Notamacropus eugenii: one gene and its partners. The protein of the gene in region 2 purifies or fractionates together with the protein of the main gene of each other region. This does not show direct contact. Links are inferred from orthologs where the notes say so. Each region holds a gene or a part of one and is shown on either strand. Other genes may lie near its edges. The genes, in order: NIPBL, SMC1A, WAPL and PDS5B.

Region 1 (7,966 bases), on a different chromosome or scaffold from region 2:
GAGGAAACTGTCTCAGGGAGGGAGGTTAAGTAATTTGCCTAATCTCACAAAGTGAATTAGTGGGTGAGTTAGGACTCAAAACTAGGTCTTCAGACCTTCATACTCCACTGTATCTTCTATGTTTCTGATAAGGGGCCAGCTGAGATGGCTGTATATTATTTAACTTAAATCATCATCATTCTGCATTGTTGTATGATATTTGTAATTTGCAGAGCACATTCATGTATTTTCATGTTATTTGATACATTATCTTACTGATATAAAGCAAGGAGGGAATACTGTTAAAAAGAGTACCTCTGCTTCCCTTTTCTTCTGCCTTCTCCAGATAACTTTTGGTCAGATATCAACAAAACACCGACACTGAAATTCTTGGGTCATGAAGTAGTTTCCTTGTAGAACCCTAGTTTGGATATTTACATATAAACTATTAAAACACTAGGTGGTGTACTAGAGGAAGAATTTCTGGTCTGCATTTTAAAGATTTCTATGATTCTGCAATAGTATTCTAGAAAACATACTCAAGTATCTGACACAAAGTGGATGTAAATAGAATAACCAAATTCAAAACCACACAATAAGAGTAAATATCTCTACTTAAAAATGAACACAATTGGGAAAGAAAAAAACACATTACTGTGTATTCAGGTGAAATAGTGATAGTACCTAATGCTTGCCACTTACATTTAATTTTTGTAAATTATAGTAATTTCTAATCAGTATCATAAACATTAGGATTTAATCTCAAATCCATGGTCTCTCTTTTAAGAATTATACTTTGGGGTGGGGAGGGTGGAAAAGCAGGGTAAGCTTCCTAATGACTGGATCTATGTGAAATTTCTGACTGGGACTATGTCCTATGTAAAATTTCTAACTGCCCCAGCTTCTATCATATAGTAGGAACCTAGTGTTTGAGTACATAAGTAACAGAACGGTCTAAAACTAGAAGGTAACTTCCTGCTTTTCAAGGCAGTTTACATCACAGGAGCCTTCAAATGAAGGCTGACTGACCATTTGCCAGGAACGTTTTAGATTAAGTCTGACATAATTTGGACTAGATGGCCTCTGAGGACCCTTCTAACTCTGAATCTCTGATTCATGATACAATTTAACATTTTGGCAATACAATGATTGAAAACATTTAATACCAGTACCCACTAACTATAAAGTTAGGGATACATTATTCCTATGCTATATACGCCATGAAGTGAAAATATTAATAAGTATTTTTCAATTTTATACCATACTATAATGTAATAAGTAATGTGTATTGCCCAGACCATGATATGAAGTTTAATGGACAGCCCATGGTGCTTTTGTAGTGACCGAGATAGATAGGGCAGATCCTGCAAATGGGCACAGAACTGTGAACAGAAGAGTGGGCACGATGGCCTTTGAAACTGAAAAATTATTTTGATGACCTCAAGATTTTCCCCAAAACAAAAGGCCAGTTTTTTAAAAAATATCCTCATTCTTCCAACATTTGTATGGCTACAAATCAGAGCATACTAAAGAAGTGAAATGGAGGATAAATAAAGGGCAATGGAGAGGTACGTGTTAACTGTGAGCAAGTTGCATAACAAACTAGAGTTATAGACAAGCAATGTTAAAGATATTATCATTGATCATTGAAAAGATGGGCTGTTCATGTGGCAAGAGGGAGAAATGACTGATAGACAAGTTGTGGTTCAATCTTATCCTCACCAAAGGCCCTCCAGGGTGTTAAGTGGACCCCCTGTGGTGAACTTAGAGTAGGACATGCAAGAGTCACATAGGATGGACAGGTTTGGACTGGGTTGCAATCTATAGTAGTTGGAAGGCACATATATCAATGAGAGTAAAGATCCATTTGAGTACTCTAATGTGAAGACCTAAGTTGGCATTTTATATATCATAAGCAAAGGACTGTATAACTTAAATTACCCAAATATGTTGAATTACTAGTTTACTTGCTAAAATTCAGGAGAGGATATAGAAGCAGCATAATGATCCTCCAAAGCAGACTTAAATGATGGCATTCTGAAATTAAGTGAAAATATATGATGTTTGCATGTGACTTAAAACTTGTATAAGACTAGTAGGTAAGACCTTAATTGGAAGAATATCTGTAAACCATTTTATCTTATTTGTGAGGTTATAATCTTTTTTATGTCATGAACCTTATGCAGAAAATATAATTTATGGATATTAATTATTTGGCATATATACACTATAAATTAAACAGCTTGAGGTTTAGGTGCAGGTATTTTTAAGCAGCTTTGTACAAGCAACTAGAAAACAGGTATTTTAATTTCATTTCTATCTCTAATACCTTTCAAGTCATTGTTATTAATTTAAATGACGCACCTAAGTTTATTAGAGGTGATCAAATAGCCCTAAAGAGGTGATTTAAATAGCCCTGAAAAAAGTGAACTAAAAAGTTGTATAAATCTTCAGATTAATTCAGGCTTCAGCTTTCACTATTTTTTCCCCAGAATTAAATAGTAAAAGTAAAGTGGATTAGCATTTTAATTGTCCTAGAGAATAAGAGAATAGTAAGCTTTTCTTAGATGTGGACCAAGATTAGGCATACACAGCCCCTTTAAGATTATCAGTAGGTCTTTTTAATTCCCTCCCACCCCCCAGTACAGTGAACAATTGTGACTTCTCTAGAATAGACATCTTCTTTAGGTTACTCTGGTGACTAGTCAAAATGAGGCAAGGAGTCTGTCATTAAGGAAGAGAAAAGCTTCCCCTAAGACAAGCGATAGAACTGCCCGAGCTCACGAACCGTCCTCCATAGGGCCCTCAAGCACAAGTCGTCACCACAAACTCGTCTTAACTTGTTTCTGGTGAGTGTCTTCGGTTCGTCTGGTATCTTGATGCAGGACTTAAAGAGCTTTTCTTCCTAGATTTTCCGTCCTTTTCAGAACTTCTCCATAAAGCTCTCTCCGGTGAATATTGAATGAATATTGAATAGGAGCATTGTCTAAGAGAGACCAACTCAGTCTCGGGGTTCTCGGACTGCATTTCTAATTCACCTGGTAACTGATTTGTTAAGAACGCCATTCACTTTTAACAAAATATTACAGATATTACTATTTAAATCAAATAATGGAACCTGTTTATAATTTTACCAAATTTATTAAAATGGAATAAAACACGTCAAGGTCTAAACTCAGCTAAAATTGAGCCCAACTTTAAATTAATCCTTCAACAGCTGTCCTGCTTCCTCCGAACAAATAAAGTGAGCAGCCTGTAACAAGTATCTCTGAGGGAAGCGGGAGGAGAGGGGAGGAAGGGCCGCGGAGGGGAGGGAAGGGAGGGGAAGGGAAGGGAAGGGAAGGGAAGGGAAGGGAAGGGAAGGGAAGGGAAGGGAAGGGAAGGGGGCTGCTAAAGAGCTGGGAACAAGGACAGCCTGAGCTCACCAGCCAGGTCAGCCCTCGGGTCTAGGACGGGTCGGGGGAGCTCCAGACCCGCGGCGCCCCCCACCCATCACCCCGCAGACCGTGGCGAGGCCGGCCCCGAGCAGCCCCTCACCCCCGGGGCGCCACAGCTCCATCTAGCCCTGAGCGGGGGGTACACACGGGGCCGCCAAATACCTGCAAGCACATGGAGCTAACTGGTCCAGCTAGGTCCAGCAGGAGAAAAGGAGAGCCTGGCATCGGAACGTGCCCTGACTTCCCCGGCACAGCGCTGCCCACAAGCCCATCTCCCCAGGAGGGAAACCAAGCCAAGCCCCGGCCTCTCGACGGCGGACCACGGGAGAGGCGACAAAGCCAAGGAGGGCGTTCGAATCCACGCGGGAGCGTCCTCGCTCCGGGCTAGGCCGTGTGCGGGTGTGCAGGTGTGCACACGGATGCGTGCAGCTCGGTCAGCGGGAAAGAGCCGCACATCCACCAGGTCGCGAGGTCACCCCGAGAGTCCAATGGAATCGCGGGGGTCCGAAACGTGGCCCCCCCGAGCGGCGACCCCTAACCCCGGGGAGGACCCGTCCTCTTCTCTTCAGCCTTCAGTGTCCGGGGCCTTGAAGCCCCCTCCTGGGAAAAGTGTGTGTGTGTGTGTGAGTGTGAGTGTGAGTGTGTGTGTGTGTGTGCGTGAGAGAGCGGGGAGGGGTGGGGGATGGGGAGGGAAGCCACCCCAAAACCTTCCGAGGGTCTCCTCCGCTGAAAGCCCGACGACGCCCGAAGCTGAGGTCTTCCCATTTTCCCCTAGGAAAAGAAGGACCAGAAGGAGGGCGGCAGTAACCGGCCCGGTCCTGGGCCACAGCTACGATAGAGGGCAGAATCCACACCCACCCAGGGCAGCGGCAGCAGGAGCAGCGGCGGCGGCGGCGACGGCGGGAGAAGGAGGAGAAGGAAGAGGAGGGAGCGAGGCAGAGGCTGCTGAGAGAGGAGGAGGAGCGGTCGGCGCGGCCGCCGCCGCCGAGGCCGCCGGCCCAGGCTCCAGCGGCGCAGGCCCCGGCTGTCGGCCCCGGCTGTCGGCCCCGGCTGTCGGCGGCGGCGGCGCGAGCGGCGACGAGGGAGACTGGCGGCGGCCGGGGGCACTGGAGTAGTAGTAGTAGCGGCGGCGGCGGCGGCAGCGGGCTGGCGGGCGGGCGGCGGCGGTGGCGGAAGTGGAGTGGGGGAGAGGGGGAGGTTGTTGGTGTTTGGCGCCGGTGGAGGGAGTCATTCCTGCAGCTGCACTTCCGGTCGGCATTTTGTTCTGAGAGGGAGAGACCGAGCGAGAGACACACACACACACACAGGGCTCCTTCCCCCCCCCGCCCTCCCCCCCCTCCCTCCTTCGGTACCGACTCGCCCGACACCGCCGAGCCGCAGGCAGGGACGCCCCCGCCGAGAGGAGGATTGGTTCCCGAGCCGGCTGCGATGCCCCCTCGGTAGCTGGGGCCCCGGTCGGGTGTTTGTAAGTGTTTCTATGTGGGAGAAGGAGGAGGAGGAGGAAGAAGAAGCAGCGATTTGTCTTCTCGGCTGGTCTCCCCCTGGCTCTACATGTTCACTGCACTGAGGAGGAGACGGAAGAGGAGCCTCAGCCGCCCCCCCTCCCGGCCCGGATTATAGGCTCCCCACAGCCGCCTCGGCCTCGGCCTCCGCACCGATTCAGACGCCGATTCGCCCAGGTAAATTCCTTCCTTCCCTTTCTTTCGGCGGCCGCGGCGGCGGCGGGGCCAGGACCCGGGCTCCTCTCCTCCCCCTCCCGCTCCCGTCCCCGGCAGCCCCGGGTCTCCTCGGCGGAGCCAGCGCGGAGTTGTCCGCCCCGGGAGCAGGCGCCTCGGCCGGCGGCGGTTGGAGGTCTTTCCCCGCCGACTTTTGCGGAGGAGATTCGGTTCCTGCCGGGCGGCCGGGGAGGCGTAGGCCCGGCGGAGAGCGCAGGCCGCGGGCCAGCGGAATCTACTTGAGCTCGGGGATTAGGAGAGGCTCCGGTCAGAGCGGAGCGATCGCTTCTCAGTGACAGGCCTCAGCCGAGGGAGAAGCGGTAGGAAGACGAGGAGGCGGAAACAATACCCGGAGCGGCCAGGGCGCCCCGATCCGCTCTATATTTACAACTTTCCCGGGGCGAGCGGTGGGAAAGGTCTCCGCGAGACAAACAACCCCCTCCTTCCCCCAGTGACCCTGGGCCGGGAGGAAGTAGTTTCAGTTAGAGCGAGGCAGATGTGAAATGCCCAGGAACGAGCCCGGGACGCGGCGTTGGCCTTTTTTCAAACTTGTTTGGGCGTGCAAAAGTTAACCGAGACTCGTTTCCCCTTTTAAAGGCATTCGGTCCTCGCTCACGGCTGGGAGACGGAAACCCGAGTGACATAAACAGTAGTGCGCTCCGTGAGGAGCCGAACGCGGCTCTCGGAGGCGGGGGAAGTTGTTGACAGGTACACCCCGGCCCTGGGGCTCGGAGGGAGCCTCGGAGGGGCCCCGCTGTGCCTGGGAGCGGGGCGGTGGGAGAGGGGGGACGGAGGAGAAGCGCTCGGAAGGACAGGCGTCCCCCTGGGTGTCCCGTCCCTCTGGTGTCAGGGGAGATCTTTTGGAGGTCTCGGGACTGTCATTGGCTGTGTGTGCCCATGATGTTTGCCTGGGTAATGAGAGGTGTCACCGTAGTGGGTCGGAGGGGTCCGAAGTGGCTCGAGGAGAGGAGCCGTTCTGAACCAACTGGAGGTTCTGTGCAGGGGATGGCTAGGTGGTGGTGTATGATGGAACTGGAAAGGCAAGTTTGTGAAGTAAATTAAAGAAACTTGACTCGTGGAAGTGGCATGGAGAGCAGGGCTTACCTGGGCAAGGCTGTTCGGGTACTTTTGTGTCGTGTCTGTTTGTTTTTGAATGTTCAAGTCTTTAAGGAGCAACGTTGCTCAGCACTTCTCTTAAGTTTGTTCACTGATGTCACACTGGCCCAAAAAGATTTTTTTCTTGCAGCTTTATTAAATTTCCATCGTCACTGTCCAATAAGTAACTTTCCTGGGGATTATTCTGGAGTTTAGGGTCTGGCTTGCGTCGAACTCTACCATAGTGTCTGCCAACGTTCGGATCAATGTTAAAAAGGGTCAAGTTAATATAGCTGTCACGTCCCAGGCATGTTTTTAATGCCATAAATCCGTGTAGTAGTCAGTAGCGTGTCCGTGATTTGTATTGGTCAGGGAGCAGTTTGAATTTTAAAAAGCCTGAAGCTCCTGCTGAGCCCCAATCCCGGCCTCCCTCCCTCCCACTAATCTCCCATTCCTGTCTTTGTGCTGCCTGCTCCTGTTCGACACTGTTTGCAACAGGGCCTCAGGCCTGCTGGGGGTGGGGGTGGGGGCGGGGGAGGGGGCGGGGGAGGGGGCGGGGGAGGAGCAGGGGAGGGAGGGAGGGAGGGAGCAGCGCTGCCCATTCTGAGAAAGCAGCTCTTGAACACAGACACACGCGCACACACGCACACACACGCACCCCCCCAAAGCGCTTACCGCAGAAATCCTCGGGCTGGCTTTATGACTTGAACTGAACAGCTGTTTCGCTTGGGGGTCTGAGACGTGCCCAGTTCACAGCAGAGGACTGGAGGAAAAGTGGTTGTGCTGGGTTGGTTTTCATCATCAGAGAGCGACGCACCAGCCCTGCTGTTTGTTTCACGGCGCTTCAGAGAAGTGTGCTCGGGGGTTAGAAAGAGTTGAAAAAGCAGTCTTCTTTCATGTTGGTTTTCTGTGTGTGATTCCTGAGTTATAAGCAGAATCACGGATTAGTTGTTAGCTTGTCCCTGAAATACTGAGGAAAAAACTTTGTTTTCATATCAAGTGAATGATTAAATTTCTCTTTCTCAGATTTTTTCCCCCCAAATTTGAAAGCAATTCCCTCAGAGCTCCTCAGTATACAGTTCATTCCTCTTCCCCCAGCCCCCATCTGTTAGAAAACTAGCCTCCAACAAATCATTTAACTGCAGAAGTATTTAGATGTAAACAAAGACAAGGCTATGCTCTCCAGATTTTTTAAGATCCTCTGAGAGAAAGGTAGCTCAGTGATATATTGGGAAAGGGGCAAACTTGAGAAAAGTTTCACCTGACAGTAAACACCTCAAATTTATTTAATAGCAGGTTGAGGGGTTTTTTGTTGTTATTTTGTTGTGGCTATTGCGTAGTCATATTAATCAATTTATAATAAAACCAGATTCTAGAATCAAGAAATACTTCAAATTAGGGTTAAAACTTAAGCAGTTAATAATTTTTAATATCTGAGTTACTTAGTATGGTATGACATTTTTGGGTTTTGTGCCTTGGCAAAATTTGTAACAGTAAAAAAGTTAAGAGAATTTTTGGTGATATGGTAAATATGTTAAGGGGCATCTTAAAGTTGGAAATTAAATATGAATTTCATTAAAGAATGTGCAATTTTATTTGCTCTTTTTAGAACTAGAAAGTAAAAGCTTTAAAATCCCCATCATAGCTCAATTCCTTTGCCATCTCCTGTTGGAAGCTTTTCTTGATACCCTTAGTTATAAATGCAATTATCAGATATAGCCATACTTGCTTTACCTAAAA
Region 2 (7,842 bases):
CCTGCACAGGGACTGTATTAATTGTTTAATTGTTACCAGTTGTCTATGACTACCATATGTTCAACAAGCAGAAAGCAATTTTCTGACACTTCTTTGTATTTATGTAGCTTTCTAGATTTGTAAAAGAGTTTGCAGTTTTATTTGTGGGCCCCTCTTTTTTGTTCTTTCTCACAATATCCCCAGGAGACAGATGGATATCCTACACCTACCTTTTCAATGTGAAAACTGAGACATGAAGATACTAAATGATTTGCTCTGGTTCTCAAAGCAAATAATCTTTTTTAAAGCAGATTCAGTTTTACACACTTAGTGTTCTTTGTTGTTTTTAATAAGTCAGGGACTTTATAAGTACCATCCTAAAAATTAAAGATTTTGAAGAATGTTTACATAAAACATTACCAGATGAAAGTGGTGTGTCAGGGGAAGTAGTAGTAGAGTTTTCAGGATTTTCACTGTTGTCTCCAAATTCTTTCTTGTAGATGGACAGCATATAAGAGATTCTATAGTCTAGTCTAACGCTGAGAATAAACTATAAGACACAGATTGAAAATAAAATATAGTTTTTCATAAACTTTTTTATATCACTCATCATTCTATTTAATGATGCACATTTATTTAGTTCACTTCTGAAGCCTAACAACAATATAAAGTATCAGAATGCTAAATAAACTAATTTGAGAGCTTACTTTTAAATATTAATAGTTCAATTCAGTAAATGTCCATCATTAATATTAAGACTTTGAATGCCTTTATTGCCACAAATACTATAAATAGCATGCTGACTGGAGTCAATAAAAATTGAATGCATTTTCTGGGAAATAAGAATATCTGGAGTGTATGACTTTCCAGTTATCTTCCACTGTAGTATCAAAGCACACCTGTTTGGTGAAACTTTCCAGATGAAGACACTGAGTTATTCTGCTTCAAGTGGTAATGATGTCATATTGTCACCTAATAACATAGATTTCTCCTTGAGGAACTATGATGATAATCAAATCCCTCATTCAGGCACAAAAAAGGCATGACTTTCAGCTATAACAGGTACAAAAGATCTGTATGTACTCCCAAGTTTTGATGCCAGATATATCTATGATTCACCCTGGGAGTCAGGACCTATGTTAATAGCCTAAATGGAGCAGTTTGCTGTCAGGTACATGTAATATAGCATTAAAAGTATCCGATAAGAACAAGATTTGATGAATGTAACTAGGATTTTTTTTCATTTTTTCTACTTTAGTATTATGCAAAAGATCTATTTTTAAACTGATCCATTGACTGTAGACATCAATCAACAAGTATTTATTAAGGATAATATGATTATCAGTTTAGAGCTGGAAAAGACATTTAAAGACATTTGAAGCAACTGAGGACCAGAAAAAAAAATAAAAGATCTGTCCAAGATTACACATTACGATAGAGGCAGGACTCACACTCAAGACGAAAAACACAAACAAAAGCAACTTAAAGAGAAAAAACAGTGCCATGGGTACAAGGCTTAAGGAGAAACACAGTGAGAGGCCTTCGAACACAAGCATGCCCCTTAAAAAGACAAACTAACCAAAGGCAGAGGGGCTGCAAGGTATTGCTGTCCATTGGTTCATATATAAATGATTGCTTTCAAAGTTTAAATGATATACAGCTGCTTCTGTTACTTAATATTTGCATGAGCAAATCACTCAACCTCTCTGTTTCCTCATACGTAAAATGAGGGAGTTGGACTAGATGCCAGTTCTATATCTATGATCTATAAATTAGAAATCAAAGAACTATCTGGAGACCAAGAAGAAATTGTATGTTATCTGTTTGTGCCCTATCTGATAGAACTGTTTCTCAACCTGTGTTAGGGATCAAACACTACTCACAAGATGTCCTGATCTGAGGAAATAGTATTTATCAGTTAACCATCAAGTAATGTGGCAGGCATTGTTCTAGTCACAAGTATAAATGCAAGTACAAAGAAAATAACAACCCTTTCTCTAAAAGACCTTACATTTCAATGAGGGATACAGGAAATATATATAAAAATACAAACAGAGTCAGGGTCTGGGGGCCACCCAAGCCCCAACTAACAGTTACCATCCCAAAAAAGCAACTTCTGAAAAGATGTAACCTGGCAACTGCTTCTTCAGGGGTTAAAGTCATTGCCTCCTCAAAAGGCAACATCTATTGAAGACTCAGTAAAGAAAGTCACTGTCCATGAGCTTAAAGTTAAAAACAAATGTGATTTTATCAGTGAAAATGACTATTAAAGAAGATGCTTCACTATCTGCTTTGCTGCTATCCCCTAACGGTCATGGAATCTTTTCATTTGACTTGCACCAGATAGATATGTGATGCATCCCCCTATTAGAATGTGAGTAGACACAGAAACCCTGAGAAGAGATACTGTCTCCACCCTTCTATTTGTATGCTTTAAACATAGTAAATTCTTAATAAATGCTTATTCATACAGTATAAATCTAAAACTGATAAATGCAAATATATACAAAGTAGTTAAATATAATAGAGTCAGAGAGGGAGGGTACTAGCAACTGGAGGAATCAGGATAGGTTTCACCCAAAAGAGGGTGTTTGAGCAGTGTCTTAAAGAAGAATGGGATTCTATGAAGCAGAAGTAATAAGGGAGTACAGACCAGCCAGTATAAAGGCATGAAGTCAGGAGACAGAGTTTCATGTGTAAGGGAAAAAAAATAAAAGTCCAGTTGGCTGTATTGCAAAATGCAGGAGGGAGAATAATGTCCAGTGAGGTCAGATGTGTTAGCTACCCTCCCAGTTTTACATTATCTACATCAATAAATAAAATCAAATGCTGTCAGACATAAATTATTATTATAGACTTAGAGTTGTCATGGGCTTTCCTTGCCATCAAATAACTCTTGAATTAAAAAATAATAATAATAATAAAGTGTGTCATATCTTAAATAAAAAGGAACTGACATAATATTGAATAAAAGTTAATGCCATTATGAGACATACCATATTCACAACAAATAAAATAAACTATATATGAGCATTTTTTATATGAACTTACATGTAACAGGTGGCAAGTTTAGGGCAAATGTGAGGAAGAAAGGGGAAATGGCAATGAGAATAGCTCTTAGTGTTTTACAATTAACAATGGTTTTCTTATTCTCTATGATCATCAGACCAACCTAAGTTGAGAGGGGTATTTGCTAGGTTGTTTTTATCAAATTCTTTACCTGTAAAATTTCAATTATTTTTAATTTTGTGTCCATAACAGTGATGTCCTCATTATCAGTTGTACTTGCTTGCTTGATTGGATGGGTGCTAGGCTGTACATCAGGGACAGACATTGGAAAGATAGATCCCCTACTGAGGACCATTTGGGTCATCATCTCTCCAACACCATGGATAGTTCGCATAACATTATTTCCTAGAAGAAGAAAAGCACATAAGCAAGCACATATAGTACACAAAGAGTTATAACATCCATCAGGTAAATATACATTTAAATGTATGACAAGAATATTAAATGTCATTAATAATCATATTTTTATGTGTGTATGTATATATATATATATATATATATATACAGTATGTGTGTGTGTGTATACAAATGTGCTGGCAAAAACTGATATTCCAATAACAACTCAAAAATCCAGGTAAATATTTTATTAGCAAATTCATTTTTTTCCAAGAAGCATTTTAAATAGAATACTAAAGTTGTCTGTTATAGATAGTTCTGATGACATTCAAATGAGGTCCTCATGAAATAAAATTTTACCCATAGTCCAAGATTAATGGGAAATTATGATTTCTGATCCTATCCTCAAGCAAAGGTTCTATTTTGCTTCTCTTTGCAAAAAACAAAAGTTATACTAATTATTGTCTATTTCAATGACTTTTGGTTTTAAGAAAAAATATACTATTTGAATTGAAAACTACTATTCCAAATTCACAAAACAGCAATTGTGTTCAGAGTAATTACTGGAACAAGTTAGTGACAAATATGATAATATTCAATTGAGGGCTCACTTCCCATTTATTTCTTTCTTCTGTGTATGGTTCCACACTGGTATATTTGTTGGAAAAAGACAAAAATCCCACCGAGTGCCAACAATTTATTCAGTTCCAACAATTCACATGTACTTCTCTATTCTAGAGCTCCTGAGGTAAGCAAGTTTGTTTCAAATAAATGATTATGTTTTCTTTGTAGTAATCTTAGAGTAAATAGGTCAAGGAGTCGGGCTCTGGGCAAACATAAAGGATCCCCCTGTTTTGGTGAATTATTCTTTGCCTAAGTAATTCAGGGGAATAAACCAAGAAGAAAATGGAAATACTGCAGCATGTAATGGAACACTCTTTTCAAAGCGATAAAAAGAGTGGAAACATTCAAAAGATGGAAAAGTGAAGAGAATGAAAATAATTTCCAGAAGCATTAAGTGAATCTTGATGGTTTCTTCCAGACTCTCACGATCATAGGTTTCAAAACTAAAAACTTGGCGGCCACTACGCCCGTTAACAGTTGGTAAAAATGAATCCATTCTGTTACACCTTTCGAGAAACAATGTATCTGCAGAAGGGCAGCATTCCAAAGAAACATTTCAAAGAATCCATAAGCAAGCCTGGGGGATCACTGTGACAGACCCGGGACAAAGGAGGGGTTTGGAGAGAGAGGCTGGAGGCAGAGTGAACACACCAATAATAAAGATCCGCCGACAGAATGAATGCCTGGTGGGCAGTGGAATCCTACAGCCCCCGACCCCAGCCCACCCCCAGCACACCCCCACCCCCACCCCGCGCTTTACAGGAGATGTTGGCCGGGGGGGGGGGGGGGGGGGGCGATGAAGCTCAGGCAGAGGCAGACAGACACAGACAGACACACACACACACACACAGACACACGTAAAAACAGAGACGGAGAGCAAACGGAGAAAAAAAGGTCTCTGGTTGGCAGAGGAAAGTGGCGGGAGAGGGGAGGAAGGAGAAAGCGCGCCAAAGAGAGAGAAAGCCGTCAGTCTCACGGCGGGAAGAAACTGGACGGGTAAGCGGAGAGCAAGGGGAGAAGCCAGGGCGTAGGTGGGGCTAAGAGCCACTGCAGGCTTCCCACCCCTTCCGCGGGCCCGCCAGTGTGCACATGCGCATTAGGTACACAAGGCGGGAGCAAGAGAGCTGGATGACGACAAAGGGGGAGGGGTCGTCCCTTCCGCTTCAATCGGTTCATCTGCGCAGGCGCAGAAAGCGGGCAAGTCCTGAGGACGCTGGGAGCGGGCGGGGTTGTCTTCCCCCGGCACTTCCTGGGATTACGAGCATATCAAGCGCACCAGGCCGACTAAGAGCAAGAAATACAGAGAGAACTGGCTTCACCCTGCTCGTCGGGGGCACGCAGGAGGCAGGCGAGTACTGGAATCGGGGGGTTTAACTGGAGTCCCGCCTTTCTTCCTGCAAGCGCGCGCACACGTATGCGCAGAAGCGCGCGCGATCCCGCGCACGGCGCGTCTCGCGAGACTTGACTAGAGCCCGGGATCCCGCTGTTTGTGTTTGTTCCCGGACCCCCCATTGCCCCGGGCCTGCCTCCCTGTCCCCGCCCCCGCGCTCTCCGGTGCTGCAGCCCCGCATTGCATCGCCATGGGGTTTCTAAAACTGATCGAAATCGAGAATTTCAAGTCATACAAGGGCAAGCAGATCATCGGGCCCTTTCGTAGGTTCACAGCCATTATCGGGCCTAATGGCTCAGGGAAGTCAAACCTTATGGACGCTATCAGTTTTGTGCTGGGCGAGAAGACCAGCAATTTGCGCGTTAAGACTTTGCGGGATCTGATCCACGGGGCTCCCGTGGGCAAGCCAGCCGCCAACCGTGCAGCGGTCAGCATGGTGTATTCTGAGGACAGCGGTGAGGACCGCACCTTTGCCCGGATAATTGTGGGGGGCTCTTCAGAGTACAAAATCAATAACAAAGTGGTCCAGCTGCTTGAATACAGCCAAGAGCTGGAGAAACTGGGCATCCTCATCAAAGCTCGGAACTTCCTCGTGTTCCAGGGTGCTGTGGAGTCTATTGCCATGAAGAACCCCAAGGAGCGGACAGCCTTGTTTGAAGAGATCAGCCGCTCTGGGGAACTGGCCCAGGAGTATGATAAGCGGAAGAAGGAGATGGTCAAGGCTGAGGAAGATACCCAGTTCAATTACCACCGGAAGAAAAATATTGCGGCTGAGCGCAAAGAAGCCAAGCAAGAGAAAGAGGAGGCTGACCGCTACCAGAGGCTGAAAGATGAGGTCGTTCGTGCGCAGGTGCAGCTACAGCTATTCAAACTGTATCACAATGAGATGGAGATTGAGAAACTAAATAAGGAACTGACTTCCAAGAACAAGGAGATTGACAAGGAGAAGAAGCGCATGGACAAGGTGGAAGAAGAACTAAAAGACAAAAAGAAAGAACTAGGCAAAATGATGCGTGAGCAGCAGCAGATTGAAAAGGAGATAAAGGAGAAAGACTCAGAGCTTAATCAGAAGCGGCCCCAGTACATCAAGGCCAAGGAGAATACTTCACACAAAATTAAAAAGCTGGAAGCTGCCAAAAAGTCTCTGCAGAATGCCCAGAAACAGTACAAGAAGAGAAAGGGTGATATGGATGAACTAGAAAAGGAAATGGTGTCAGTGGAGAAGGCAAGGCAAGAGTTTGAAGATCGCATGGAGGAAGAGAGTCAGAGCCAGGGTCGGGACTTGACTCTGGAGGAGAACCAAGTGAAAAAATACCACCGGCTGAAGGAGGAGGCAAGCAAGAGAGCTGCCACCCTGGCCCAGGAGCTGGAGAAGTTCAACCGGGACCAGAAGGCTGACCAGGACCGGCTGGACTTAGAGGAGCGAAAGAAAGTTGAGACAGAGGCCAAGATCAAGCAGAAACTTCGAGAAATTGAAGAGAATCAGAAGCGAATTGAGAAGCTGGAAGAATACATCACCACCAGCAAGCAGTCTCTGGAGGAACAGAAAAAACTAGAGGGGGAACTCACTGAGGAAGTTAAACTTGCCAAACAGCGCATTGATGAAATCAACAAAGAGCTGAATCAGGTGATGGAGCAGCTTGGTGATGCCCGCATAGACCGACAGGAAAGTAGCCGGCAGCAACGCAAGGCAGAGATAATGGAAAGCATCAAACGCCTCTATCCTGGTTCCGTGTATGGCCGTCTCATTGATCTGTGCCAGCCAACACAGAAGAAGTATCAGATTGCTGTGACTAAGGTGCTGGGCAAAAATATGGATGCCATCATTGTGGATTCTGAGAAAACTGGCCGGGACTGTATCCAGTACATAAAGGAACAGCGTGGAGAGCCTGAGACCTTCTTACCACTTGACTACCTAGAAGTGAAACCAACAGATGAGAAGCTTCGAGAACTGAAGGGGGCCAAGCTGGTGATTGATGTGATTCGCTATGAACCACCACACATCAAGAAGGCCCTCCAGTATGCCTGTGGCAATGCTCTCGTATGTGATAATGTTGAAGATGCCCGGCGCATTGCATTTGGTGGCCACCAGAGACACAAGACGGTGGCACTAGATGGAACACTTTTCCAGAAGTCCGGTGTCATCTCTGGAGGGGCAAGTGACCTCAAAGCCAAGGCCCGCCGCTGGGATGAGAAAGCAGTTGACAAACTGAAGGAAAAGAAAGAACGTCTGACAGAGGAGCTGAAGGAACAGATGAAGGCCAAGCGGAAGGAGGCTGAGCTGAGGCAGGTGCAGTCTCAGGCTCATGGCTTGCAGATGAGGCTCAAATACTCCCAGAGTGACCTGGAACAGACAAAGACCCGGCACCTTGCACTCAATCTACAGGAAAAGTCCAAGTTGGAGAGTGAGCTGGCTAACTTTGGCCCACGTATCAATGACATCA
Region 3 (7,998 bases), on a different chromosome or scaffold from region 2:
TCCGTGATTGGTTGACTAATACAGCTGTTAGCTTCAAGTACAGAGGTGAAGTCACCCAGATGAGCAGCTTCACCAGGCTCCAACTGGGAGGAACTCTTAGCCTGGGCCACATTCTTTGAAGAAACTGGTAAAGATTCTTCATCACTATCAAATCCAAAAGGATCTTCTGAATTTTCATCTTCCACTTTAGGCTTCTTAGGAATTTCTGGGATATCTGGATTTAAATTAGGCCTCTTTTGGCCTAATTTGGCCATAAAGGTAGTCTCTCCCCACTTTGTACTAAGGGTGGTCCGTTTGTTGGAAAATACTTCATCAAATTTAGAGCTGCCATTTCCCCCTTTCCTGCTATATGTTTTCCCAAATCTGGATGTCATTTTGACACCTGTTTCATATTCTCTGTGGAAAAATCAAGAAAACATAACCAATATTGTAACCAAAAATTTAAACACCACATGTAAAATTAAGTTGCCAAACAAGTATGACTGACTACCTTACCACCTACGATAACAGAATTCATTAAAGCTCCAAACTGAACCAACAGTCAATGTACAGTACTCATTTATACATTACTTAAGTGTAATAATTAAAAAGCTTAAACTTTAGACACTCATCTTTTCAAAACAGAAAAGCATAAATAAAATGTAATTCAGTAGTATTTACCTTTCAGACATGTTAATGTTAGGTCATACATACTATATTTATAGATTCCTAAGCTTTTGCTTTTTAGACCAAAAAAAGAAAATATGGTACCACACTGAATCTAACGTACACTTCTATGCTAATTTCAAAAATGTTGGATCTCATGTTAACTTAGTTTGACTGAAGATACTGCTTTTGTATTTGATAAACTAGCGCAAGTCAAGTTCCTTAACATTAGTTCCATGGTCCATATTATAAATGTACAACTTTATTTTCTTTTTACTTTTTTATCTGTAAACTTCATGGATTCAGATTCATTCAGGTTTATTTATAGTAGACAAATATGTACTCAACAGAGAAGAAAAGACATGTTTGGAGAAACCTCTATCTTTATGCAAAGTCTCCAGAAAAAGATAAGATTACATTAACTAAAAGATTAATACTACGCAACAATATATGTGTCAACTAGTCTAAGGAATACTAGGAGAGGTTTCTACTCATAAGGAGCTTACATTCAATTGGGGGGAAGGAGGGAGAAGAGAGGAAAGGACCAGAGAGGAACACTGTGTACCCAAGGTGAAAATATACAAAGCAAAAGGGGGGGAGAGAAGACTTCATCTTTCTTTCATATTGTACATGACATGCATGTATTCTTTCACTAATAATCCCCTTCCACTTAACTGTGATGAAAACTTTTTTAAATTCACATTACTGAAATCACTGAAATTTTAATATAACAATAATTATAATCGACTCTTAGAGGGGCATAGTTTCACTGTACTGTAATTAATAAGCTTGAAAGAAATGGGCTATAAGCTACACGCAAAAAGCTTTCCCTAATTTTGAAATATCACAACAATGGTTTTTTGTATCAGAATTTGCCCCATGTTTCACTGAACTCCACAAATTTTTTTTTCCTAGGATGTACTAGGAATCACTGACAAACTGATCTTTTCGAGTATTCAGCAGGAATTTTTTCCGTAGGAGATATAAAACCCAATGATAAATTCCTAACGTTTACTATAACCTTTGGGAGTAGAAACAGGAGATATCTGTATCGCCTTGCGCTATAGAGTTTATTGGTAAATTTTGTGTTTTTCTTTCTTAGGCGTTATAAAACCAAAATGTTTTATTTAAGCAATTTGTCTATAAACAAGAGAACTTGGCCATTTCTATAGAAAAATGGAAATAAAACTGTGCACTTCTTCAGTGCAGGATACGTAGATACTTGGGATATTTCTCAACATGGCACACTGGGGAAGACTGTTGGACTGGAAATTCCTTGGATTTGGCTTTGAATCTTCTACTTCTACTCCTGTGGCTTTAAGCAAGTCAGCTGACCTCGGCGGGTCTCAGTTTCACCTCTTTCAAAAGAGGGGATTGGACTAAACCTCTCAGGTCCCTTCCTACTCCATGACCTAAAAAGTTAACACCTGAGAGTTTGCCAAAAGCAGGAACCCCGTGGACAATCTCATCTCGAGTGGAGCCTTTTCAGGTCTAAGCTGGAAGAGCTCGCCGAAGGCTGCGGGGCCGCCCCGACACCCCGAGGGTGGGCGGACAACTCCCAGTCACCATCTCACGTACATGTGCATAGGCGCGCGGGTCTCAACCTTTCACTCGGGCCTTCAGACACATTGGCAGCTCCTCCCAACAACCTGTCCGGGCCAGAGAGAAAGGGGCACTCAGTGACCCCGGCGCCTGGGGGCTCTTCCTCCCATACCCACTCCGCCCCGTCCGCCCCCCCCAGGTTTCTCCGGGGGTCCCGGCCTCCACACTTCTCTCCCATCGTCCCCTCCCCGAGGCGGCGCCCGAAGAACAGTGCCCCCTCCCTCCGTTCTCGGGGGCAGAAGCGGGTGCGCTGCCGGCGGCCGCCGTGCACTTGACCGAGAGGCGCTGGGGGGGGGGGGGGGGGAGGGAGGGAGGCGCCCCAGACTTGGCGGCCTCTCGGAAAGGGCCGGGAGTGGGGGGGAGGGCGGGCGAGAATCCAGACACTTCTCTTCGCCCGCCCGTTCCCCCAACTTCCTCCGGGTCGCGTCGCACCGGGCGCCCCGAGCCCCCTCCCGGGTCCCCGTCTCGGGCGGGGCCTAGCGGCCGCCACGGGACCTCACTTACCCTGGGCGCCGAGCGAGCGGGGTGGAGACTCCGAGCTCCGGCCGCCGCCGCCGCCTCACCTTCCCGGCGGCCCCCGGGCGGCGCAAGCCGGGCGGCCGCTGGGGCCCCGCGCGCGCGGGACGAGGGGGGGTTAGAAGGGGGGGCCGGAGGGTTGGCGCGCTCGAGATGGGAGACGGTTGACGCGCGAGGAAGAGGGGGCCGGGGGGGGGGAGGGGAAGAAGAAGAGTGCCGCCGCCGCTGCCCCGGCCGCCGCCGGCGTCTGCTCCGGGCCAAAAGGAGCCCGCAGGGAAGGGAGGAGCGGGAGAGGGGGAAGGGGGGGAGCGCCGGCGGCGGCTGCCCCGCAACTTCCCCCGCTGCCGCCGCCGCCGGCCCGGGCCTAGGCCGCCCCGTCCGCGTCGCCGGCGATGACTAGCTCCTCGCGCTGGGCCGCCGTCGCCGCCGCCGTCGCCCCCGCCTGCGCCGCCTCCTAGCCCGGTAAGTGGTCAGGGCTGGAGTTTGAGCAGGGCCCTGAACCATCTCAACGCCATTTGCGCTCCCCGGCTGGCCGCCCCCCTTCCTCCCCCAGCCGCCAGCTCCGTCACGGCGCTTCCCACAGGCCCCGCGCGGCCCCGGCCGCCGCAGCCAATCGCAGCGCCGGTCGGACAAACCGTCGCGCAGGCGCGTGGCGCCGCACGCGCGGGGGCCGCCATGGTCTCGGCCGCGAGGGCCGACGGGAAGTGTAGTTCCCGGCCACACTCCCTGGGCGGGGGCGGGGGTGAGCCACCGTGTTCGGAAGCAGTGAGTAGGAGGAAGGGCCGGGACTCGGTTGAGGCCAGGCGGGGACGGGGGTGGGCCCAGCGCCCTCGGAAGCTCCCGGCCGGGGGAGGGAGTGCAGAGGCTGGGACCGTGGCGGACGCCCTGGGTGTCGGTGGCTCGCCCTGCAGGGACCTGCCGCAGCCGGGGGACCCGGCGGCGCCCGCGAACTCCGACTGGGATGCACCGGCTTTCAGGCCCGGGTCTCGGTCAGGTAGGGGAACAAAATGTGCCCACCTGCTGGCACATTCAGTCCGGGTTCTTCCGAGCTACCAAAGAGGCTCGTGGAGCCCATGGTGCTGGAGCGAGCTTGGGGGCTACCCACCGCGCCCCCCCGGCGTCTCTGCTGTTTGTGCCCCTCTCTCCCTGCCTCTCTTTTGACTTGACCCTCGTAATGAGCCACAAAATGCAGCCTGGTGAAGATAGCACGAAAACATTTACGAATAGTCTATATGGAAGAAAGCAACCAAGAACCTTTTTCCTTTTCCTTTTCATTTTAAAGGATCAGAAAATTCTCAGTGCTCCCAGTGAGTCATTCTGGAAATTGACAGCTTCCAGCTACTGATGTCACCGATCCGTAGGGGATCAGGTAACTGGATCTGTTTTCTTTTCTATTCTTTCTCTCTCTCTCTCTCTCTCTCTCTCTCTCTCTCTCTCTCTCTCTCTCTCTGTCTCTGTCTCTGTCTCTCTGTCTCTCCCTCTCCCTCTCCCTCTCCCTCTCTCTCTCTCTCTTCCCCCCTCTCCCTCTCCCTCCTGCCCCCTCTCCCCCCCCCCAATTCTCTATGCTTAGGAACTCGTTGTGAAAACACATTGATTATTTGCTCGATACTTTTTTTGTGTATAAACCTTCAAAAACCTCATCAATGGAAAACTAAATTTATTTGACCCACTTGTACTTTACTGTGGAATTGCACTCATCTGGGCATAAGGAGACCTGGTTTCTAATTCCGCCTTCGCCTGTAGCTATCTGGGTGACCTTGAGTTACATGTTTTAGTGATCTGGGCCTCAGTTTGCTCATTTGAGACATAAGGGAATTGAGATGGATGATATGAGATTGCGTTTTCCGTCTAACAACTTTAACAATGTAATGGGTTTTTTTTTTAATTATCACTATATCATTTCTCTTCCCACATAAAGTTTAATAAAGATACCAAAATAAAACCACATTCATGACTTCTGCATCTATATGTCACCTTATTCTTGGGCAAGAGGGAGCTTTAATGGAGCTTTAGGTAATTACTTGGGAAATTAATAAGGTATTAGTTACCATTTTTCCTTAAGTCCTTCCATTCATATGCCTAAAGCTATAAATAGACTATGTTTATGAAGTACTTAAAGTGACTTTCTTCTAAAATCATAAGAAATAGTTTAAACAATATGTAGCCAGTATATTATGAGTCCATAGAAAACTGTTCCTATTCAAGGCATTGATGCTACTTAGCAGTTGAATGATTCAAGTACCACAGATGCATTATTGTAAGTATAGATAACTTGTAACTGAACTTTTGACCTGTACCCTTAAACTTCTGGGTACAGTATCTTTTTTATTTTTCCTTTTTAAAAGCCAACTCTATTGCATGTCCTGAATAGAAGTTAGATACAAACTATTCCTCAGGGTATAGCTCTGCAGGAGTGTTTTATCTGAGCCAGTTTTGCTCTAAAAAGTCAATGTGGGACCTTATTTTATAATTTTCTTTGAAGACTACTTGTTGGGGTACAGGCTCCACTTACTATAATTACTTAGATGATACAGTGGTGGTGCTAATTAAGGGGTAATTATCATCAGAAGCAAAAGCTAAGATCAAAAAGTCAAAAGGAGCAAGGAGATAATTGCAAGATTTTTTACCAAAGGTATATAAAGCTTGCTGTTAACCCTCTAAATTCAAAACTATGTAAATTCTTTATGGGGTAGGCCCAGTGGCTGTTGGGAAGGCCCTGGAGTTCAAAAACACTCCCGAGACCCCTTTCAGGTGTCTGTTTTCTCCCGGTTTTAAAATACTGAACTAATGATGTCAACTAAAATGAGCACTTCTGTATAGAGAATGGAGCTCTCCTGTAAGCTACTGTCATTCCGACCCAAATGTAACAGTCACATTTCTGCACTCATCCAGGTAACTTAGAACATGAACACTGCATTTAGGTCCTGGGATTTTCTTAACAAAAATAAACTTGCCCAGAGCCTTTGTGCCCTCTTCACTGACCTGTGGTCAAGCAAAAGACACCCACTACAACCTGGCTGTCCTCCCTGTGGCAGCCTTTGGGTTCCTTTGGTTAATTTCCATTTTCTTTGTTTCCCTAAACACTTCCATCTACATTTCAAGTGAACAAACTTCAGAAGCTGGAAATGCAGGACCAAATAGGGCCATGATTTTTCCTGTCTGGGGCCTGTCTCTCCAAGGAGAATTTATTCTAAGCAACTTGGAGAATAGGGACAGTCTCTTTAAACACCACCATCAGGACTCAATAAATACTTGTTGAAATTGAATTTTTCTTAATGATAAGGCTAGAAACAAGCCAAAGTATTTGTATTGTATTAGAAAATGTGATACTACAGGAGACCACCTTTCCTGTCTTCAGAGGAGCGTTAGTGCCTCCTGCCCCCAACTAGACTTTTGAGAAGGAAAGTCCCAAGTGAATTTACAATTACACTTTGATTATAGCTTTCAGATAATATCCCTGAGGAAAATAATAATGGCTGTGAGGTGTACTGCTTATGTCGTCCTCCCTTAATCTAGCAGATGGTTACAAATTGAAGTTCAGGAGAAATATATTTTTCATTTGTAAGAACTTTTTAAAGGAAAATAACTTAAAAGTTACTTGAGAGAAGTACAAAGGAACAAACATTTAAATACTTACTATGTGCCCTGTGGGCTAAGGGCTTTTAAAAAAAAAAAGCCTCAGGATCAGAAGGGACCTTTTTTAAAAAGAGATTTGTAAAGCTCTTTGCTTTACAATAAAAAATGCATAGCAGAAAACCAGGAGACCCCAATTTGGTATTTTCAGTTAAGAAAATCCAGAAATGAGATTATAAAGAAATCTTTTGGAAACTGTAAGAAAGACATCAGTAAGAAAGCAGCTGATAAGCTTTTGTTGTTCTTATTCTTAGTTTAGTATTTCCTGGGGGGGGGGGGGGGGGAAGGAGGTCATTTTGGGTGGCTTCATATGTGTTGTGGGGTTTTTTAGTGCAGTGCCTGGCATGTCGGTACATAATAAATGTTATTTGGTGAATTTCTTTTTCTTGGTATAGAGAGGATTTTTTCTTACTTTCCCATTTCAGAAGGTGGGGATCCCTAGAACATACCTCAGTGACCTTACCTTTCATGAAAATTTGAATAAACTCCCAAAGACATTCTTTTAGGAGTATATTACTATCTCATTAGTCTCAAGTGTAGGTGGAGGAAAGACAAAATGTGGTTGGGGAGTCGATCTAACAAAGAAGGATACTTACATCTGAGATTCTAGGAGTGTTAGAGAAAGACCCTGAAAGTTGGGGCCTTTCCAGGCCTGGATATTCAGTAGGCTGGGCTACTGAGTCAGAGGAAGCCCAGTGGAACTTTCACCTTGAGTGCTGTTTCCTTTTCTAGCCAATCACTTCCCAAGTCCTGTGGCTGTCAGCCCTGAAACGTCTCTGGCCTCCTATCTTCCTGTTTCTTCTGCCACCACCTTTGTGCAGGCCTTGCTGGAAAATTGCTATAGCTACCAGGCCTTCCTGCAGACTTGCCCTCCTTCAGTTCCTCCTCCCTGCTGCTCCCGACTTACCTTATGAATAGATCTGGTTAGATTCCCTCACTTAGTAAGACCTTTTTCTCAGACCCTCTTGTCTTCCAAAGGAAGTTTAAAGTCCCTTGTCTGGCATAGGATTACCATGGGATTTAGACCCCATAGGGTTCTTAACATCTTTAGAGATGAGGAAATTGAGGCACAGGGAGGAAATAACTAAGCCAGGTCCTTTGAAGTCCCTGTGAACTCCCCAATTCAGTGCTCCAAGCTCCACCATCCAATGCCCTTGGAGCTGTAAGGCACCTAAGAAGTCACCCAACCCAAGGCCTTCAGTTTACAGGCAGGAGGTCAAAGGCATCATGATCTTATTTTGGGGAACAAAAGTGAAAGTCTGGTGCCATACAACATGGAATAGAGTTCACATGTTAAAAAGCTATTTTTTTTTATTAATCCCACAATCACAAACGATTTATCTTTTCATTTTAAAAACCTATAAATCTCCCTCTGCTCACCTAAAAAAGCTATCAATTTCCCTTCAATTCTGACAAAATCAAGTGATCTGGAATTCTTTTTACTGAAGGAAAATGCCCAGCCTTGTCATTCCAGGCCTGCATTCTGGTCACACATGACTTTTCAACTTCGGTTTCATCTCATTTCCCTCTGGGCACTACCTCTCCAGCCCAGCTGACCTGTTCCCTGTACATATATTTACCTCTCTTCCTTTGTTCTTGCAG
Region 4 (7,745 bases), on a different chromosome or scaffold from region 2:
CAGCACTAAAATTTATAATCCTACAAAGCTATACCATGTTTATAAATATTCATACAGCTAGTACCAATCGCTGAAATTTGCTTATTTTCTAACAAGAGGAACATATTTTTTAAAAAAGCAAATAATTGTCTTCTCAATGCTATTTCCACAAATCAGATGATAGTCCTTCCCAAAAAATCACAACTCAAAAAATTCTAAAGACCCTTTGCATCAAATGAAAGCAGTGAACAATTCTGTTTTCTCAGTTTTAGACATAATTCCATCACATCACAGTTCTCAAGAGAGTAACTTGAGTAATGAAAGATATCACTTCCTCCTCAGACATAATAAATTGCTTGATAATTCCATAGTCTAAAAGGATTATTTTAAATCAATTCTACAGAATAATCTCAAAACACAAACCTACTTTTTTTTTCCAGGAGTCAACTCATAGTGGCAAATCATATTTTTAAACAAGCAAGCTTGATCACATGACTTCTCATGACAGCAAGTATCCTTAACCTCAACACCAACATTTCCTCTACTTATAAGAAAAATGAGAAAAAGAAGAAAGGGGTGTAAAAAAAAGGGGAGGAAGAAGAATCTGAATACTAGAATTAAAAGGATGAGCTAAGGAGATAACCACAATGGAGAAAGAACAAAATAAAGGCTGAAGACGAGAAAATTTTATTTTTTAAAAAAGAACATAATTCAGATCCACAAAGAAATGAAATAGTACAACAAAAAGTATAAAAGTTAAAAAAAAAGTTTAAATGTACATTTGGTATTTCTGCAGACATAAACATTTCTGAAATCACACACACACACACACATATATATACTTAAGTGTTCAAATGAGCATCTTATTAGTTCATTTTTTTAAATGAACTACTTATGTTTCTAAGATGTTTTCATTACTCATAGAATTCCTCAGAAAAAATTTAATTTTGAAATCCAGAAATCAAACCATTACAATTTAGAGTTTTAACTACTTGTTTCACAAGCAACACATTTTAAGTAAGTTCTGTGCTGATAACGAAAATAAGACTGAGCATGTTAACACGCTGACTAAATGACTAAAAGTAACATAAGTTAGAGGTTGAACTTGCCCTTGGACAACTCATATACCTGAGGGAAGGCTTATTGTCCTTAGTCATGTCAATCTCATGTGAAATGTGTACTGTAGGGTGCCAAGACCAAAATGTGTTCATGTAAACCTTAATTCTGATTTGTGTTGTATGCTATGTTAACTTTCTTATTTGGTAGATTACTTGGTTCAGATAGAAAATCCATTCAAACCTACATCTAGGTTTGTTAAACAAGCACGTTATTTAGAATGCCACTCAAAATTTAAATAGCAAAATTCAAAAAATTTTTATACTCTGTCTCTTCTAATAAACTATCAACAGATTTTTAAGGGTTACCTTTACTTGGGAAGAGAATATAGGATGTTATACAGCAAAAATATTCTTAAATGTAGAAAAGATCCATCACAGAGACCTCGGCATGCATTTCATAAACACTACGGCAAAGCAGAAAACACAGCCCACTAACATATTTCATGAAAAAGAGTAGAAATGAAATAAAACGAACCGACAAAAATAAAGGCACTTTCAGAGGGCTTCCCTTCAAAATATATTTTCTAATGTTAACTCCTGCTTAAGGGTTTGGATTACGCTCAAGTGCTATGCAGATATCCCTTTCTCCTGATTCAAACCCGCACTGAACTCACGGCATCTCGTTAAGTAATGCAGTACAGTGCGGTGCAGGTTTACACCTCATGGCTCAAATTCATACACTTAAATAACTATATTTAAAACAAGAAGTTTAATGCATGTCCCGAAGAATTAAAATACGAGGCATGCCCCGCAACCAGAAACTTTTTGAAGTGTGCACAAGGGAGACCAAAACCAGCCGCGGAGGTGCAACAATCTCTGATTATTCCGCAGTTCTGCCAGCGCTCATTCCGGTTCACACTGCAAGGCTCCCTGAGGCTCAGACCAAACCCAACTGTCACCAGGGTGCAGTAATTTAGAGTGAGCCCCAGTCCTCCTCCATTCGATCCCAGGCTGCCCCTCCCCACAGCCTCCCGGCGGCCGGTGAGATTTACCTCCGGTGACTGACAAGTTACAGTAGACAGCAAACGGACACATTGTATCCTTTTCTCCTCGCCCAGAGCAAAGGCTGAGACGACGTGGGGGCAAAGGGGAAACCCCGGGCTCGTGGGGCTCAGGGGGAGCCTGCGGGGGCGCCTGGAGAGGGGCCAAGCGAGGACGCTGCGGCCCCCCAGCTTTCGCAGCGCAGGCTCTTCCCTCCCCCTCCCACCCCACCCCCGGAAAGGAGAAAAAAAAAACCCGCCAGAGGATTCAACAGGAGAACCGCGCCGCCCGCCTGCGGTCCGCGAAACAGCCCGAGCCCGAGCCCAGGCCGGCGGCGGCCACCGGGGAGCGGGGGGAGGGGAGGCGCGGGAAGGGGGCGGCTGGAACCCCGGGCTGCCCCTCGGCCCCCGCCGCCAAGGTCACCCGGCCCCGCGGCCGCCCCGCCCGGAGGAAGGCGGCAAGTTTAATTTCTTAGAAGCCGTGGATCAAGCCAGCGGCGCGCGCACGCGTGTGCGCGTGTGTGTGCGCCGGAGTCGGTGCAGGGGGTCCGAGGGGGGTGCAGGAGGTCCTGGCCCCCGCTCCCTCCCCCGCCCGGAGAACGAGACACCTCCCGGCCAAGGGGCTGCTCAGCCCTCGAGTCCGAGGCGAGCCGAGCCGGAGGCAGGACGGCCGCGGCTACTGCAGGGCGGGCGGGCGGCGCTTCAGCCCCCGCCAAAGGCACACACACCGCCGGCCGCGGGAAAATGGAGCGCCCGGGCGGGCAAGAAGAGACCTTTCTCCCGTTAATTGAATTGTTTCCTACCTCCGGCTGCCGGGCTCGCTGCTCCTCTCACTCCGCCGCTCTCCGGGATCCGCCGCCGCCGCCGCCGCCGCCGCATCCAATCGCCTCCTCCTCCCCCCTCCCCTCCCCTTCCGCAGCTAGCCCGGCCGTTCCTCCTCCTCTCCGCTTCAAAATGGCGCCAAGCGTTCTCCGGCGGCAGCTCCAATCGAACCGCGGCGGAGAGCACCCAGGGGCAGGCGGAGCGCGGCGCGGGGGCGCAGCGCCCCCTGCCGACCGACCAGCAGACCAGCCAGACCGGGTGTCGCTCAACCGCCCGACCCGCCTCCCCGGCCAACCGCGCCCGCGCGCTCCGGGGTGCGCGCTCCAAGCACGCGCCCGCGCGCTCCGCGGTGCGCGCTCCAAGCACGCGCCCGCCCACACGGCAGCTGCCAATCAACCCGCAGCTTCGGTGTCTTTGGCGTCTCTTAGGAAAAGAAGCAGATAGCGAGCCGACCTCTGCGTTTTGGGAGCCGAAGATAAGAAACTAGAATGAGTTTTCTTCTGGAAAGGGAGATTTGGCAGTATTCCGTGGTCTGCTCGCTTTGCACTTAGACGGGAACTTTGATCCAATCTGAAGTACCTTCCAAAATTAGCAATTCTACACGGTGTATTTTCGCTTCTTTTTTTTGTTGTAGGTGGTGGTTTGTTTTACACGGTCCTCAACGCGCATTTCAGTCTAGAAAAAAATAAGCAAGGTGATCGTCCTCTTTATACCCTCTCCACCTTTTGTGTTATCTTCCTTCCCCTTTGGATTGAGAGCCCTTTGAGGACAGGGACGCAGAATGGGCGCTGCGTTAATGTTCATTGGATTGGACTCCGAACTTTGTTATATGGTTCTTCATAAGAGCCTTTATCGAGATTATCACAAAACTGCTGTTTCCTCTTCCGCACTTTTCTCTGTTTTTTTTTATATTGCTTATGGCCTCACTTTCTCTATGCCTTCTTACAAAAGTAAATCCCACTGCCCTTTCCATTCTGGTAATGGCCAATGTCACATGATAGACAGATAGATAGACAGACAGACAGATAGAAAGGTAGATAGGTAGATAGATAGATAGATAGATAGATAGATAGATAGATAGATAGATAGATAGATAGATAGATAATAGACAGATAGATAGATAATAGACAGATAGATAGATAATAGACAGATAGATAATAGATAGATAGATAGATAGATAATAGACAGATAGATAATAGATAGATAGATGATAGAAAGGTAGGTAGGTAGAAAGATAGATTAGATAGACAGACAGATAGGCAGACATATATGTATGTGTGTATGTATGCGTATATATCACGTGTGTATATATATTATACATAATACATATGAAGAGAATGCGTTATGATGACACTTTTTAGAAACTTTGTTTCAATAGAAATAGTACGGGACACGAATTCTCTCCACAGAAATCAGGCTCGGAGAGGCCACTAGATGGTGCAATCTAGTCAGTGCTGGACTTGGAATCAGAAAAAAAATCTATGTCTATTACTTCAGATTCTTAACCTCTCAAAGCCTCCGTTTCCTCAACTATAAAACAAAGATAAAAATAGTACCTCAACTTGCAGGGTTGTTGCGAGGATCAAAAGATATAATACGTGTAAAGTGCTTTGCATCCCTTAAAATGACATATGAATGCTATTACTATTACGACTGTTATCATTGTATGGGAAGCATTATTCTTGATTCCAGATAGAGAGGAGAGGTCCTCCCAGCTTTCCAGGACTTTTCTCACTTCCCTTGGAATGATTTCTCCCTTAGTCTTATCCTATCTAGGCGGTGCTGTCCCCCTTAGAAAGCAGGAACCCCAAGAATGTGATCAGGCTCTGGACTTACCAAAGTTACTTGAGTACCAATACATTCATCTGTCACCTCAGCCGCCACTGCCAACAACCCAGAGCTGATGAGATTTTTTTTTCCTGTATGAGTGCACTTTCAAAAGAGTTTTATTCCCAGAATAAAGGTATCACCAGCACCCAGCACAATTCCACACACATAATAGGCATTTAATAATTGCTTGTTGAATTGGATAAGAAAAGTCAAATTGCAATGTGTATAATATAAATATATAAATATATTTATAATATATATAAATTATAAATATATAAGTTCAGATTACCACATTTTGTAGGCTATACCAACACTTGATGAGGTTATGTTGCTATGCAAACTAATTTATCATAGTAGGATAAAACAACATAACATTCCGCTTTCACAAAACATTGTCATGACAGTGTGCTGAAACTAAAACTATAAATTACCATCTCCTCTGACTTCAGTGAACAATATATCTTCCTGAAGTTCCAAAATGTGAATTAAACATACTTTGCTATACAGTTATTTCAAGTGAAGAAAAGATCTGACTACTCCACAGTCCTTCAAACTTACATCATGTTTCCTCAAGCCCTAAAGTGATCTTAAGACCTTTCATAGTTTTCACAATATACAGTAAAATGCAAATCTCTGGCAAGTCAAGGTGGAGGGAAGTAAAAAGAGCTTAGCCCTAGTAGAATCTTGTGCAAAAAAAAAAAATAGAATTATTACTCAGAGAAAATTTTATTTTTCAGAACCATAAGGACCATTAAAAAACAAATGATCAACTAAAAAAGTAGAGAATTGAATTCAGAAACACTGAATATCTTGGAACATTGGCAACACTAAACTGAGTGCAAGGAATTTTTCTGGTAGACTTAGCCCTTCACAGCAATTCAAGGACCTAAAACTTTCCCAAAGGACTCGAGGCAAAACACCATCCACATCCAGAGAAACAACTATGGAATTGGAACACAGAATGAAGTAGAATATTTTCTCTTGTGTTATGTTTTGTTTTGTTTAGGTTTTTCTCATGATTTCTCCCATTCATTTTAATTCTTCTATGCAACATGACTAATATGAAAATGTGTTTAATAAGAATGTATGTGTAGAACCCATATAAGATTGCATGCTATCTTGGGAAGGGAGCAGGGTGGGCAGGGGAGAAATCTAAGACTTATGGAAGTGATTGTAGAAAACTGAGAACAAATAAATTAATAATTAAAAAAATTAAAAAATTATTAAACTCGCTACCTAGCATTAAAATGGTAGAGTCTAATGTTGTATGAAGTGCTGAGACCTAGAATTGTTATAGGGGCAACATCTCATTGAACTATATGACCAGAATCACCAAGTAATGATCACCAATACCAATGAACTCATTGACAGACAGTATCAAATGGATGAATAGAAATGAAAAATAGTATTCCAGAGCTGAAGTGACAGCACAAAAATAATAGCTGAAATATATGTTCTGCTTTAAGATTTACAAGAAGTTTTACATACATTATCTCATTTGCTTCTCCCAACAACCCCATGAGGTCAATAATGTAATGATTATTACTCCCAATTAACCATTAAAGAAATTGACCCAGAGAAATTAACTGATTTGCCAAGATTATATAATAAGCAGCAAAGTTATGATATGTTGTTTAAAATTGAAACATTCAAACTTTTCAGTGGTCTGTTCAGCGTTTAGGTCTAAAGTAATGGGCAAGCAGCATGATCTACCCTGTTAAATGTATCATTTAACACATATAAAAAGGACAAATAAACCCTCTAAATAACTCACTCAGTGGAGATGTATGGCCTGAACATCACAAATAGCATAAGTTTCTACAAACAGTGTCTACACTGTCAAATCAGAGAATTTGTGTGAGCAGGGTAAAAAAAACAGAGAGAACATGGTTAGTAGAATTATCTCCAGCCATGAAAGGCCACATGACAGCTACAATATGGAACGACCTATGTCTACCTCTCACCCATCTGGATCTTCAGGTTGTCTGAACTTTATACATAACACTTCTTGAAGTAGAAGCATAGGGGGGAAAGGATATGGCTTCCATTTATACAGAAGATTAGGCTTGTAGACCTAGCATTTCCCCCTAAAACACCCTAGGCCAGATCCCCTCTGTGACTGAGAAATCAGAGGAACTCTTTGCTCAAGTTTAGATCTGGCTATCATCCAGCTTTCTGATTCTCACTTTGGTCACAAGCTTTTGATTCTCCTTGCTCCCTCAGAGCCTGCTGAATTTTTGTTGCCAAATGGATTGCTAAGATAGATAGAATAACATGTTACTTCTGGCCCTTCCTGGGATCTATGTTTGACAACCTCTTCTTGGATTTCATCTACTCAGTACAAAACCTGCCTTCTGGCCTCTTGTTTCCCCAAAACTAAGATTATCTTGAAACTGACCTCCCCTCCCTACCTCCTGCAGACCCCCATAGCAACATCCCCTACAGTATCACTGCTAGGAAGTATCACCCAAGTAACCCTGTAACACTGGGTGACCCTCAAAATTCCTCAGTACTTGGAAGAAACCATCTCTAGAGATGGTTAACAACAAAATTATTTCTGGAAAGTCTGGAATTTTAACTGGTATCACTTGGAAATAGGTTATTTCCTGGCTGACAAAATAAACAGAACCTTGTACCAGGAATGTTGTTATTGTTGTGGGGTTTTTTATATCATATTTATGAAAATAGTATTAGTCACAAAAAAACTAAAGATGTAAGCAATAGCTAAAGTAGACTGTGAATAAATGCAACATTATAGAAACAGTAGAAAAATTAGAGGAATAAAAATATTCTATCTTGGCCAGGATCTGGGAGGAACAAGGGAACCCATGTAAGAAAAGATTGCACATATACTGGATTATAACTATGTTATCTGGCTTACTTATGTCTAAGGAAGACTGGCTACCCCTACTCAGAAGAAGCCATCTTTGTAGGTTATTCAGGGTAAGCCAAAGACTCCTCTCTCCCCAGAAATGCACCCCCTACCCAGTAGCTCCAGAGCTCCACTATTCACATT

Evidence for each region.
Region 1: the proteins of SMC1A (region 2) and NIPBL purify together in Homo sapiens (affinity purification with mass spectrometry; 3 studies listed by BioGRID and IntAct, with this or other methods). This does not show direct contact. The link is inferred for Notamacropus eugenii from reciprocal best matches to the Homo sapiens genes SMC1A and NIPBL.
Region 3: the proteins of SMC1A (region 2) and WAPL purify together in Homo sapiens (affinity purification with mass spectrometry; 7 studies listed by BioGRID and IntAct, with this or other methods). This does not show direct contact. The link is inferred for Notamacropus eugenii from reciprocal best matches to the Homo sapiens genes SMC1A and WAPL.
Region 4: the proteins of SMC1A (region 2) and PDS5B purify together in Homo sapiens (affinity purification with western blotting; 8 studies listed by BioGRID and IntAct, with this or other methods). This does not show direct contact. The link is inferred for Notamacropus eugenii from reciprocal best matches to the Homo sapiens genes SMC1A and PDS5B.

What each region holds. Positions count from the first base shown.
Region 1 is NC_092875.1:423,986,781-423,994,746, reverse strand, and holds the start of NIPBL (nipped-B-like protein), read left to right. Parts: upstream 1-4,962; 5' UTR 4,963-5,095; intron 5,096-5,728; exon of another isoform or gene 5,729-5,839; intron 5,840-7,966. UniProt on the Homo sapiens protein: Plays an important role in the loading of the cohesin complex on to DNA. Forms a heterodimeric complex (also known as cohesin loading complex) with MAU2/SCC4 which mediates the loading of the cohesin complex onto chromatin.
Region 2 is NC_092874.1:178,917,642-178,925,483, reverse strand, and holds the start of SMC1A (structural maintenance of chromosomes protein 1A), read left to right. Parts: upstream 1-4,842; 5' UTR 4,843-5,588; coding exon 5,589-7,842. Other genes in the region: inositol 1,4,5-trisphosphate-gated calcium channel ITPR2, read right to left, coding at 400-529, 3,200-3,393. UniProt on the Homo sapiens protein: Involved in chromosome cohesion during cell cycle and in DNA repair. Central component of cohesin complex. The cohesin complex is required for the cohesion of sister chromatids after DNA replication.
Region 3 is NC_092872.1:253,010,666-253,018,663, forward strand, and holds the start of WAPL (wings apart-like protein homolog), read right to left. Parts: upstream 3,002-7,998; 5' UTR 2,752-3,001; intron 2,295-2,751; 5' UTR 2,232-2,294; coding exon 2,224-2,231; intron 2,194-2,223; exon of another isoform or gene 2,073-2,193; intron 397-2,072; coding exon 1-396. UniProt on the Homo sapiens protein: Regulator of sister chromatid cohesion in mitosis which negatively regulates cohesin association with chromatin. Involved in both sister chromatid cohesion during interphase and sister-chromatid resolution during early stages of mitosis.
Region 4 is NC_092876.1:201,641,849-201,649,593, reverse strand, and holds the start of PDS5B (sister chromatid cohesion protein PDS5 homolog B), read right to left. Parts: upstream 3,008-7,745; 5' UTR 2,881-3,007; intron 2,109-2,880; exon of another isoform or gene 2,090-2,108; intron 1-2,089. UniProt on the Homo sapiens protein: Regulator of sister chromatid cohesion in mitosis which may stabilize cohesin complex association with chromatin. May couple sister chromatid cohesion during mitosis to DNA replication.